Linked DNA regions of Caenorhabditis elegans. The protein of the gene in region 1 purifies or fractionates together with the protein of each later gene. This does not show direct contact. Each region holds a gene or a part of one and is shown on either strand. Other genes may lie near its edges.

Region 1 (5,263 bases):
AGTTGGAATGAAGCGGCTGCTATTGCTGCCACCGCACGGCAAGAAGCGGACACAATTCAACCCGAAGATATTTTTTATGTGCACCTAGATGAACTCTTTTTGCAAAACCTCTCAATTAGTAGACCTTTGAAACTCAACAACGTTTGGACGAACCTAACTTGACACCGCCGCCTTTTTCTCTAATCTTATCTGATGAAACAGAACATCTGATGTTATCACAATCAATCAAATCTTATTCATCTCTACGAATTCGTAAATGTTTTCACTTACATATAAATTGGAAGAAAAACGGATTATCGTTCCAGAGATCAAAAAATGATGTGCCTCCCCTTTTTTGCAATTAATCCTCAACTCGTATTTCTCTTTGTATGTCTTGAAAATTGAAATTTAGACAGTTTAGTTGTTATCACGTCAGTTTTGTGTATTCCACTTGAACTATCTATCTGGTTGGTTAGTCTCCTCCCACCCATGAGTCTTTCATTTATGTTTGTCTAGCCTGACAATTGACCTGACCACCAACCATCAGGTCTCTCCCACGTTTTGTATTTTTATTATGCACATTACGAACTGTGTGAAAATGGCTGTCGTATCATAATAAATTTTGGAAAAAGAAAACATCTGAAATGTTGCCAGTTCTTTGATTCTCAAAATGTTCAAATGATATTCATAAGACTCTCATCTTGTTTGCCATATTGTCATTAGCAGGTCATCCTCTTCTATTCAATTCTGGCTAATCCCCCGTTCCCCCTTTCTCTTATAATTCATCGTTCCTCACTGTTTGGTTGAATGAAAGAGCACAACAACACTTGTAATGAGTTATTTCATATTTTGAAAAAGTTGCCACGTCATGGAAAGCCAAGACACAGTGGCGGTCTGCTTTGAGGTCGTCACTGTCACCGTCGAACTGTTTTTGATCGCAAACATACATCGGTTGTCTCGTCTCTCGGGTTGTCTCTCTCTACCTCTCTCTCTCTCTTTTCCTTCGGTGACTACCTCTCCTCCCTTCCCGCCACACCGTCCTCCCCCTTCCACCGACTATTCCACCTTTTTGTGGTATGTACTAGCACTATTCTCTGCGTCTGTTTTACAGTTCTCATTCTCTCACACACACTTATTTTTCCCCAATTCTTATGGTAGTTGAATGTGAGTACAGTGTCCACTAGGATCTAGACTTCAGGACTCATTCTGAAAGTTGAGCCGAGGTCACGTGTGAAAACTGAGCTCTTTTCCTACACCTTGCCCCTTCTTGACAATTGTCGTTCTTCCTCTTTCTTATCATCACTTGACTTTTTTGAGCGACATGCTGGACAAGACAAGTCGTTTAATGGATGATGTTGCGATTTACTATCATCTGTTAGTATGCGCTAAGTAGGTGCGAACGTATGACGAGTTACAGTAATTTATTAAGCTTGAAGGTTTTTGAAGGATTTTATGAAGTTTGATCAAGTTCTTGAGTTAAGTAAACATTTTCTCTTGTGATCTTAATTGATTGTGAAAATAGTGAACAATTCAAGTTCTTGAAAAGATTTGATTTGTGTAAGTTAGAAAATGTGTGTTACCAATTACTGTTGTATTTGACTTCTAATGGATCTTCCGAGTCAATCAGATTCCTTGGCGCTCGGTGGTCCTGCTCCTGCTGCTAAATACACCAAAATATTTGATGAATGCGGTGCGACGGCGATGCCGCCAATGTCTCTTTTCCTAACGGACCAGTCGTGTATGTGCTCTGTGTATGTGCCCCACTAACCGACGACGACGACCCTCGCCCGCCCCACGCCACTCCCACACCCCACCCCGTCTTCATCCCTTTCCTCTCTCCCGTCTTCCTTTCTTCTATCCCTCGGTGCTGTTCTAGTTTGTGTTTTTACTAGGCTCTAGAGGGTTCCGGAGGGAAAGAAAAAAGAACTTCTGTGCTTTTCATCACCATCTTCCTCTCTCATCTCATCTTTTCATTTTTTATCCAGCTGATTTTCGTGTGTTCTCAATGATTCAAATTAAGACCAATTCTTTAGGATAGTTCATCATTTTTGGGGGAGCAAACTGGAAAAACTAAAAAAGGCAACAAGACAAAGATGAGCCGCTTTGACAGCCAGTGCAGTAGTGAAGACGTCAACAAAGAGGACGAATGTGTGCCGTCGTCATCTGAGGATAGCCAAGGTAATGAAATTGTAACTGAACCGTCTCTGTGTCTTCTTGTATGTCATGTCAACCTAGATACGGGTATTCCCAGTGGGGGCCGTTCTTTTAGAAAGATGGCCCCATCTTCACCAGCGTAAAATGTTATGATTCTCGCTGCGGATTAGCGCTTAGCGGATTAGTCGAACAAATGTACGAACACATAAGAAGACACATGCGGCAATTCTTTTTTGTAACTTTTGATTGTGTGATCTAGATTCTAAAGACCGCCTACTTGAAATAATTTAAAATATAAATTATCAAATTTCAGACGGCGTTTCTTCCCCAATGGAAAACGATGACGAACCAGAATTTTCCCAAAAGCATTACGATATTGAACCATGTTATTATAGTCTTACAGGCAAATCGGATAGGAATTGCCGTGGAATAGTAAGTCATTTTTTAATTCAAAAATCTGAAATTTGAGTAATTTCCTGTACTCTTTAATAGTTATAATCTGAATAGACATCTTATGTATGCGTATCTTCTTCCCCTTCAATATCTCAACACTCGAAAAACCAATTAATTGTCGTTCTGTCGAGTTTTTGGAAGAGACACAGACATTTAGGCAGTTTAGTGTGTAGGGGAGGTCAAAAGGAAGAGGAGACGCTGGTCATAATTCAAATTCTCTCCCGATTAGACGAACATCGCTACAAATAGACAAAAACCTGGATTTCAATCTTTTTTCACCCGTTTTTTCTGCGAAACGTTTTGATGGCTAAACCTCAAACATTGCGCTTACACACACACACATTGCGAGCTTCAAATCGAGAAGAACCAGATAGTCAAACACTGAGAAGATCGCGAGCCGAAAAAAAAACCGAAGTGACCTCTCTTCTCGTTTCGTCAAAAATTGAAAATTGAACTTTGACTAGATTAGTTGTCAGTCGGCAGCATACTTCCTCGAATTGTGCGCATGTTTTCCAAAAAAAAGCGAAGCGAGGCAAAAACAGCTGCCCAATTTTTGATCTGAAATTCGAGACAATTGCTTTTTTCTGGCTGGCAAGGAAAGCAAAGTCAACAGAAGTTTTCGGAGACCCCAGAGAGATGCTTCTTCCCTCAAGAGAGTACAAACAAAAGAGACGCTTGAGAGTTAAAAAGATAGATACTATGCGACAATAGACACACAAACACAAAAAAACATTTTTTGCCGCATTATATGATTTGTTTGTTTGTTTTGAAATGTGCGCTCATAATATTTCATTCTCTCACAGTTTAGTGTTAGTTGGCATTGACCTAGTGTGAGACGAGGTGCCAATTGACAACTGAAGCTAATGAGAGGAGAGACGCAGACGACAAGTACAAGTGAACACTAGTTCATTTCACCTCAAAGATACAGAGAAACCGGAAAGATAAATAAGACAGACTAGTTTCTAATATAATATCGTTAGTTGAAAGTTTGAAACATACAAATCTACTGATTTACTAAACATATTTTTTCAGGTATACCGGTATCGACAAGACAGTGATCTAAAAGGGTTTCAATCACATGATGGCACATTGTACAGGCTACGAGATTCAGTATTCGTAGAAGTGTCACAAAACGAGCCGTATGTGATAGCGGCAATATGCGGATTTAAATATGTGAGTAATGAGATCGTGAGGCATGTCAGCAGATGGTTCTGCCATATTAAGGTTTTTGAAATAATTGTTTCTTGGAAACTTGTTCCTCAAAAATCAGAACCACAATAGATCAAATCGTTCCACAGTGTTACAATGAAATATTTATATAATGGGCAACACTCAGTGAATGTAGCGATAAGATAACAAATTCGGCATTTAAAAATTAATGTTGCGAGAAACCGGGTGATGTTTGACAATTTCGAAATAAATTGATAGAAAAGGGGGTTTAAGGACAAATTGAACTTTTTGGAAAATGAAAAATGAGGTTTTCTTTTTGAAACTAGAGATTCTTTGATACTTTATAATCTCTGCTGACCTCTTCTCAAATTCCAAACAACTATCAATTTACTTGTTCTCTATATCTCTTCATTCCCTTGTTCCTTGAACTACTGGTTTAGAGGAGGAGAGAACCGCACTTGTGTAAATATTGACACAGTTTTAGTGGGTTCATGTATTCCCTTCATGTTTTCCTTTCGACTGATAGCACTGAATACTTTTTTAAACATAAAAGTATAAGGAAGATGTCATTGAGTCATTTGCCCACTTGTTCGTCCTTCAGAACCCACTAAAAACCGTGTCATAATCGGATTGCGCGGGAAGTCGTTGAGAATTAGAGAATGCATTGAAAGTGAAAAAACATAAACTTTTTAATTCAAACACTTTTATAGTATCATCACAAAAACATACATTTTAGTATACACAATAAAAGTAGAAAGTTTGCTCACTTTTATGAGCTGTGAGAAGAACATAATGTTCCTCTTTGTTGTTGACAAAGCACATTCACGTGACCAACTGATGAGCTTATTTTAGAATTTAAATAGGAAATTGGGATAACTAGTTTTTAAAGCCAAAATTCTAAGAGCAACAAAATTACAATATTTTCTAGTTTTGACAACGCAGGGATAATTTTTCTTCTGGATTTTCAAAGCCGAAAACTGAGTTTATCAAAAAAGGTAAATTCCTTTGACAGGGCTACACATAGTATTCAAAAAATGATAAGAGATTATATATTTTTCAAAACAAAATAAAGAATACCAATTTTCAGACAAAACGAGATCACGTGGTAGTGAAACTTACGAGGTACTTCAGAGCAGACGATATACCTGAGATATCTTTAAATTTAATGAAACAAGAACGAGCTGAGCTTGAAATCAATCCACATTTATGTCCAGTTAGTTTAATTTTTAAGATTTTCAGAATTACTCACATTTATTTTTCAGCAATCATTAAATCGAGAATTATTTAATTCGGAATTACAAATTACACAACCAGTTTCATGTTTAAGGTGAGTTCTTTTTTAAATTTAAAATACTAAAAAAATTGAAATTAAAATAACTTTAAAATAATTGAAACACTGGAAAAATTCTTTGCCCCTTGACATGATTCGTTTTCAAAGTTAAAATATTAGAATTTTGAAAATGAGTTCTCAAGTGCCTCAGAATTTTCCAGGTTTAGGTGGTAGGCG
Region 2 (4,093 bases), on another chromosome or scaffold:
ACACAAATCTGAAGAACATGAATTGCTTGACCTTGGTATTGGCGGCGATAACCTAGAAAGTGGGACAAGTTATTTCTTGCTGTCCACGTATCTTTGGATAAGGAAGATCATCAATGTTTCGTAACCTGTAAAACTAAGAGAAGAGAAAGACAAATATATATCAACTAATCTAAAAAGTTGCAGTCAGCAAGATGAGGAAAAAAATAAAATATATAAAGAAGTTGAATATCTAGAGGTTCTCAATATTTTTGTCAGAAAGTTTTTTTCTCATTCTCAAAATAGCATTGAATATTTTCTTATTAATATTTTTGCTTTAAAATAATAATATTAACAGCGTGATAGTTTTTTGGAACACGAATATCACATGCATGCGCATTTCGCAAGACTTCCATTCTCTGCGTCTCTCTCCTTCTGACTCATTTCTTCTCTTTAAAATCGAAAAATATTGTTCTCATCGACCCCAAATGTTTAAAGCGTTCTCATCGATAATGCAAAGTCTACAGTTCAAAACCGATGTTCCAGTGATAATGTGAGTTTTTTCTTAATTAAAATATCAATTTTTCACCTAGAATTATTTCAGAGATGCAGAAACTGTGCCGAACGAATGTTTCTCGCCAATTTTCCGAAGGCTGGACAAAAAATCACTTCTAAACTGCCAATTGGCTTGCCATCGATTCAATGATTTGATATCAAGTGACTCGTTTTGGATTGAATATGCTCGAATTTTAAATATATCAAATGTTCTTCCATCTTTGGAGTGGAGAAGAGCAGCGACACAGAAGAAGTTTGTTGGAAATGAAGACAATGAAATTGACACTTCAAGTTTTAATTTTAATATTAAAAAAATAGTAGGTTATCGCATTTTATAGTAATAAAATTACAAAGTTTTACTTCAGGTTCTGTCTGGAAGAGGCTACTCACCAATCACTCCGCTTTTCATTTCTCATTTTGAAAATGCACGTGACAACACAATAAGTGGAACTCTCCGTTCAGATGATTTTTCAATCAGAGCGAATGGCAGTGGGTATGTCAATACTTTGTTCTTAAAATAATCAATATTTACAATTTCAGAATCCACATGGAAAGAGATGGAGGAAACGGTTGTGAACCACATCCGGATGTTTCCAAGTGCTTCGTATTTTCATTCACAGAGAGCTCAATCAGTGTTTTCATCGATTTGGTGAACTCTGGAATTGACCCATGGATCTTGGATCACGTTCGCCCGAGAATTAGAATTACACAGAAAGTCAATCATCGTAATGATTGTGCAGCCAGGCTCTCATTTGCTGCTCAGTTGAACTATCACGAGACTCAGTGGATTGAAAGATTTGGCCATGTACAAACTATGAGCAACACTGATCATAAAAGATATAAATCTGTAAATAAGGAATGGGCTCAATGGACTGGTCAACCTTGGGAAGATTGGACAATTGAGTTTGACGATTACCCGTCTGGAATTCGACATTTAACTATTCTGAATGAAGGTGAAGATAGACAATTTTGGAGAGGATTCTACGGACCAAAAGTTGCCAATATTCAAGTCGAAGTTATTCTGCCTGATGAGCCAATAGTTAAACCACTCGCTGTTGATTCCGAAAAATGCAATGAAGACGAGAATCCTAACGCTGAAGACGAGGATGATGACGATGATGAAGTACCGCCAAGAGTCGGAGTTTTTAGAATGCCACTCTTTCGTCGTGGTCGTCACATGTATGGAATTCCTCCCGCTGTGGCTCGTCATGAAGATGAAGACGAGGAAGATTAAATAATGCACCGACAATTTTTCGCTTAACTGTTTTATAAAGTGTTTGTATGACTGGAAAAGTTTGTTATATCTGTAATCGAATGAATATATAAATATTTTAACACGTATCAGACACGGATACATGTCATGACATGAGTTCATTAACGAAAAAAAAGAAATTCCGAAAAAAAAACTGCAAAAACATTGCGCGTCAAATTGTGTGTTCGCTGTGCATGCACCCTTGCCTCTGCGTACCGCACATTGCATCTTACGACGATTTCTATTTTATATTTTTTGAATGAATTTCTTCATTTTTCAACTTAATTTTTGATTTTTGCTGTGATTTCAGATATGGATACCAGCGAAAATGCTGCTTCAGCTGCCGAGCAACAGCCAACACAACAAATCGATCAATTAACAGTACCAAATGCTCCGGATGGAGGTTCTTCAGCTCCTGCTCCATCTGTAGGTTTCGTTATTGTTAAATAGTATATTTTTGAATAAGACTTCACAATAGTCAATTTCCAGACTTCTCCCAATTCAATTTCGCCATCAAATCCGACTGGCACACCCGCTCCAGGTGCCAGTGCCCAAACTCCCAATCCAAACGCCGCCGGAGCTTCAGCCTCGGGTTCAGCAAATTATAAGCTGATGTGTACATTGGAAGGACACACAAAATCGATTTCTTCAGCTAAATTTTCCCCATGTGGAAAGTATCTCGGAACAAGCAGCGCGGACAAAACCGTCAAAATCTGGAACATGGATCACATGATTTGTGAGCGAACTGTATGTTTCCGCTCATGAAAATTACAATTAATCCTTAAATTTTCAGCTCACCGGCCACAAACTGGGTGTAAACGATATAGCATGGAGTTCCGACAGCCGTTGTGTTGTCTCTGCTTCCGACGACAAAACACTGAAAATCTTCGAAATTGTAACGTCGAGAATGACCAAAACCTTGAAAGGACACAATAACTACGTCTTCTGCTGCAATTTCAACCCACAATCATCGCTCGTTGTCTCCGGATCATTCGATGAATCCGTTCGTATCTGGGATGTCAAGACAGGAATGTGCATAAAAACCCTCCCAGCACACTCAGATCCAGTGTCAGCAGTGTCTTTCAACAGAGACGGCAGCCTCATCGCATCGGGATCCTACGATGGTCTAGTTCGTATCTGGGACACTGCCAATGGGCAATGCATCAAGACTCTGGTCGACGACGAGAATCCTCCGGTGGCATTTGTAAAGTTCTCTCCAAACGGAAAATACATCCTCGCATCGAACCTCGACAGCACTTTGAAATTGTGGGATTTCTCGAAAGGAAAAACCCTGAAACAATACACTGGACACGAGAATAGCAAATATTGCATCTTCGCCAACTTCTCTGTTACCGGTGGAAAATGGATCATCAGTGGTTCCGAAGATTGTAAGATCTACATCTGGAATCTCCAGACTCGGGAAATAGTTCAATGTCTTGAAGGACACACACGTAAGTCGAAAAATAAAATAAAAATGCAAATTTAAATTTTTTCCATTTCAGAACCCGTGCTAGCCTCCGATTGTCATCCAGTTCAGAACATCATTGCCTCAGGAGCTCTCGAGCCAGACAACAAGATTCATATATGGCGCTCGGATGTTTAAATTGTTTAAATTTAATTAAAATTTCGAAAATTTGATTTATATTTACCCCTTGGTCACCGTGTATATATGCTTTTCCTTCTTGATCTCCTATATTCCTTGATTATAGAGGCGCGGTGGCCAGACACTTTTTTTTCTGAAACTTCGTATTTTCTGTCATTCCTTATATATTCTTCCTAATATAAAAATCCATAAATATTAATTTCCGTGGGATGATTGAGATGATCATTCAATTGATTCGTTTTATTTCGATATTCTATTTGATTTTCAGATTTAATTTTATTTTTCTGGATTGAGGCTGAAAATTTTAGAATGGCAACTCGGGCTACACAGATTTCGACGCTAGTTGAGGAAATTGCAAATAATCCCAATCTTAAAGAAGATCTGAAAATTGTAAGAAATCGCAGATTTTCTAAGTAAACGCCCCACCCCTGAACTATGGGTCTCTTTAGGTTAAGAAACCGAAAATCGAATTTTTCAATTATTCTTGCCCGATTTCAAAGCATTTTCAATTGGTTTTAATGATTTGATGTCAAAAAATAAATTTTTTCATAAATCTCGGCATAAAAATCATTAAAAACAACGAAAAATGCTTGAAAATCGGGGAAACTAACTGAAAACTTTTGAACATCCAGTTTTGCCGCCAAAAACCTAACGAGACCCATCGTTAGCCCGTTTCCACGTGGATTTCAAAAGGGTTTTTTTTCTGC

The links.
Region 2: the proteins of egl-27 (region 1) and wdr-5.1 purify together in Caenorhabditis elegans (affinity purification with western blotting, with the first as the bait; one study listed by BioGRID). This does not show direct contact.

Annotation. Positions count from the first base shown.
Region 1 is NC_003280.10:6,833,009-6,838,271, forward strand, and holds the start of egl-27 (Egg-laying defective protein 27), read left to right. Parts: upstream 1-2,012; 5' UTR 2,013-2,072; coding exon 2,073-2,157; intron 2,158-2,446; coding exon 2,447-2,565; intron 2,566-2,578; exon of another isoform or gene 2,579-2,685; intron 2,686-3,618; coding exon 3,619-3,759; intron 3,760-4,843; coding exon 4,844-4,969; intron 4,970-5,018; coding exon 5,019-5,083; intron 5,084-5,263. UniProt on the Caenorhabditis elegans protein: Transcription factor which promotes stress survival and delays aging. Required for cell cycle progression and development of the mesodermal and endodermal embryonic lineages.
Region 2 is NC_003281.10:3,703,192-3,707,284, forward strand, and holds wdr-5.1 (WD repeat-containing protein wdr-5.1), read left to right. Parts: upstream 1-2,093; 5' UTR 2,094-2,095; coding exon 2,096-2,209; intron 2,210-2,272; coding exon 2,273-2,530; intron 2,531-2,576; coding exon 2,577-3,234; intron 3,235-3,285; coding exon 3,286-3,386; 3' UTR 3,387-3,593; downstream 3,594-4,093. Other genes in the region: C14B1.3 (F-box domain-containing protein), read left to right, coding at 465-529, 581-848, 897-1,024, 1,072-1,765; dph-1 (2-(3-amino-3-carboxypropyl)histidine synthase subunit 1), read left to right, coding at 3,696-3,776. UniProt on the Caenorhabditis elegans protein: Contributes to histone modification. May position the N-terminus of histone H3 for efficient trimethylation at 'Lys-4'. Required for di- and trimethylation, particularly for the trimethylation at 'Lys-4' of histone H3.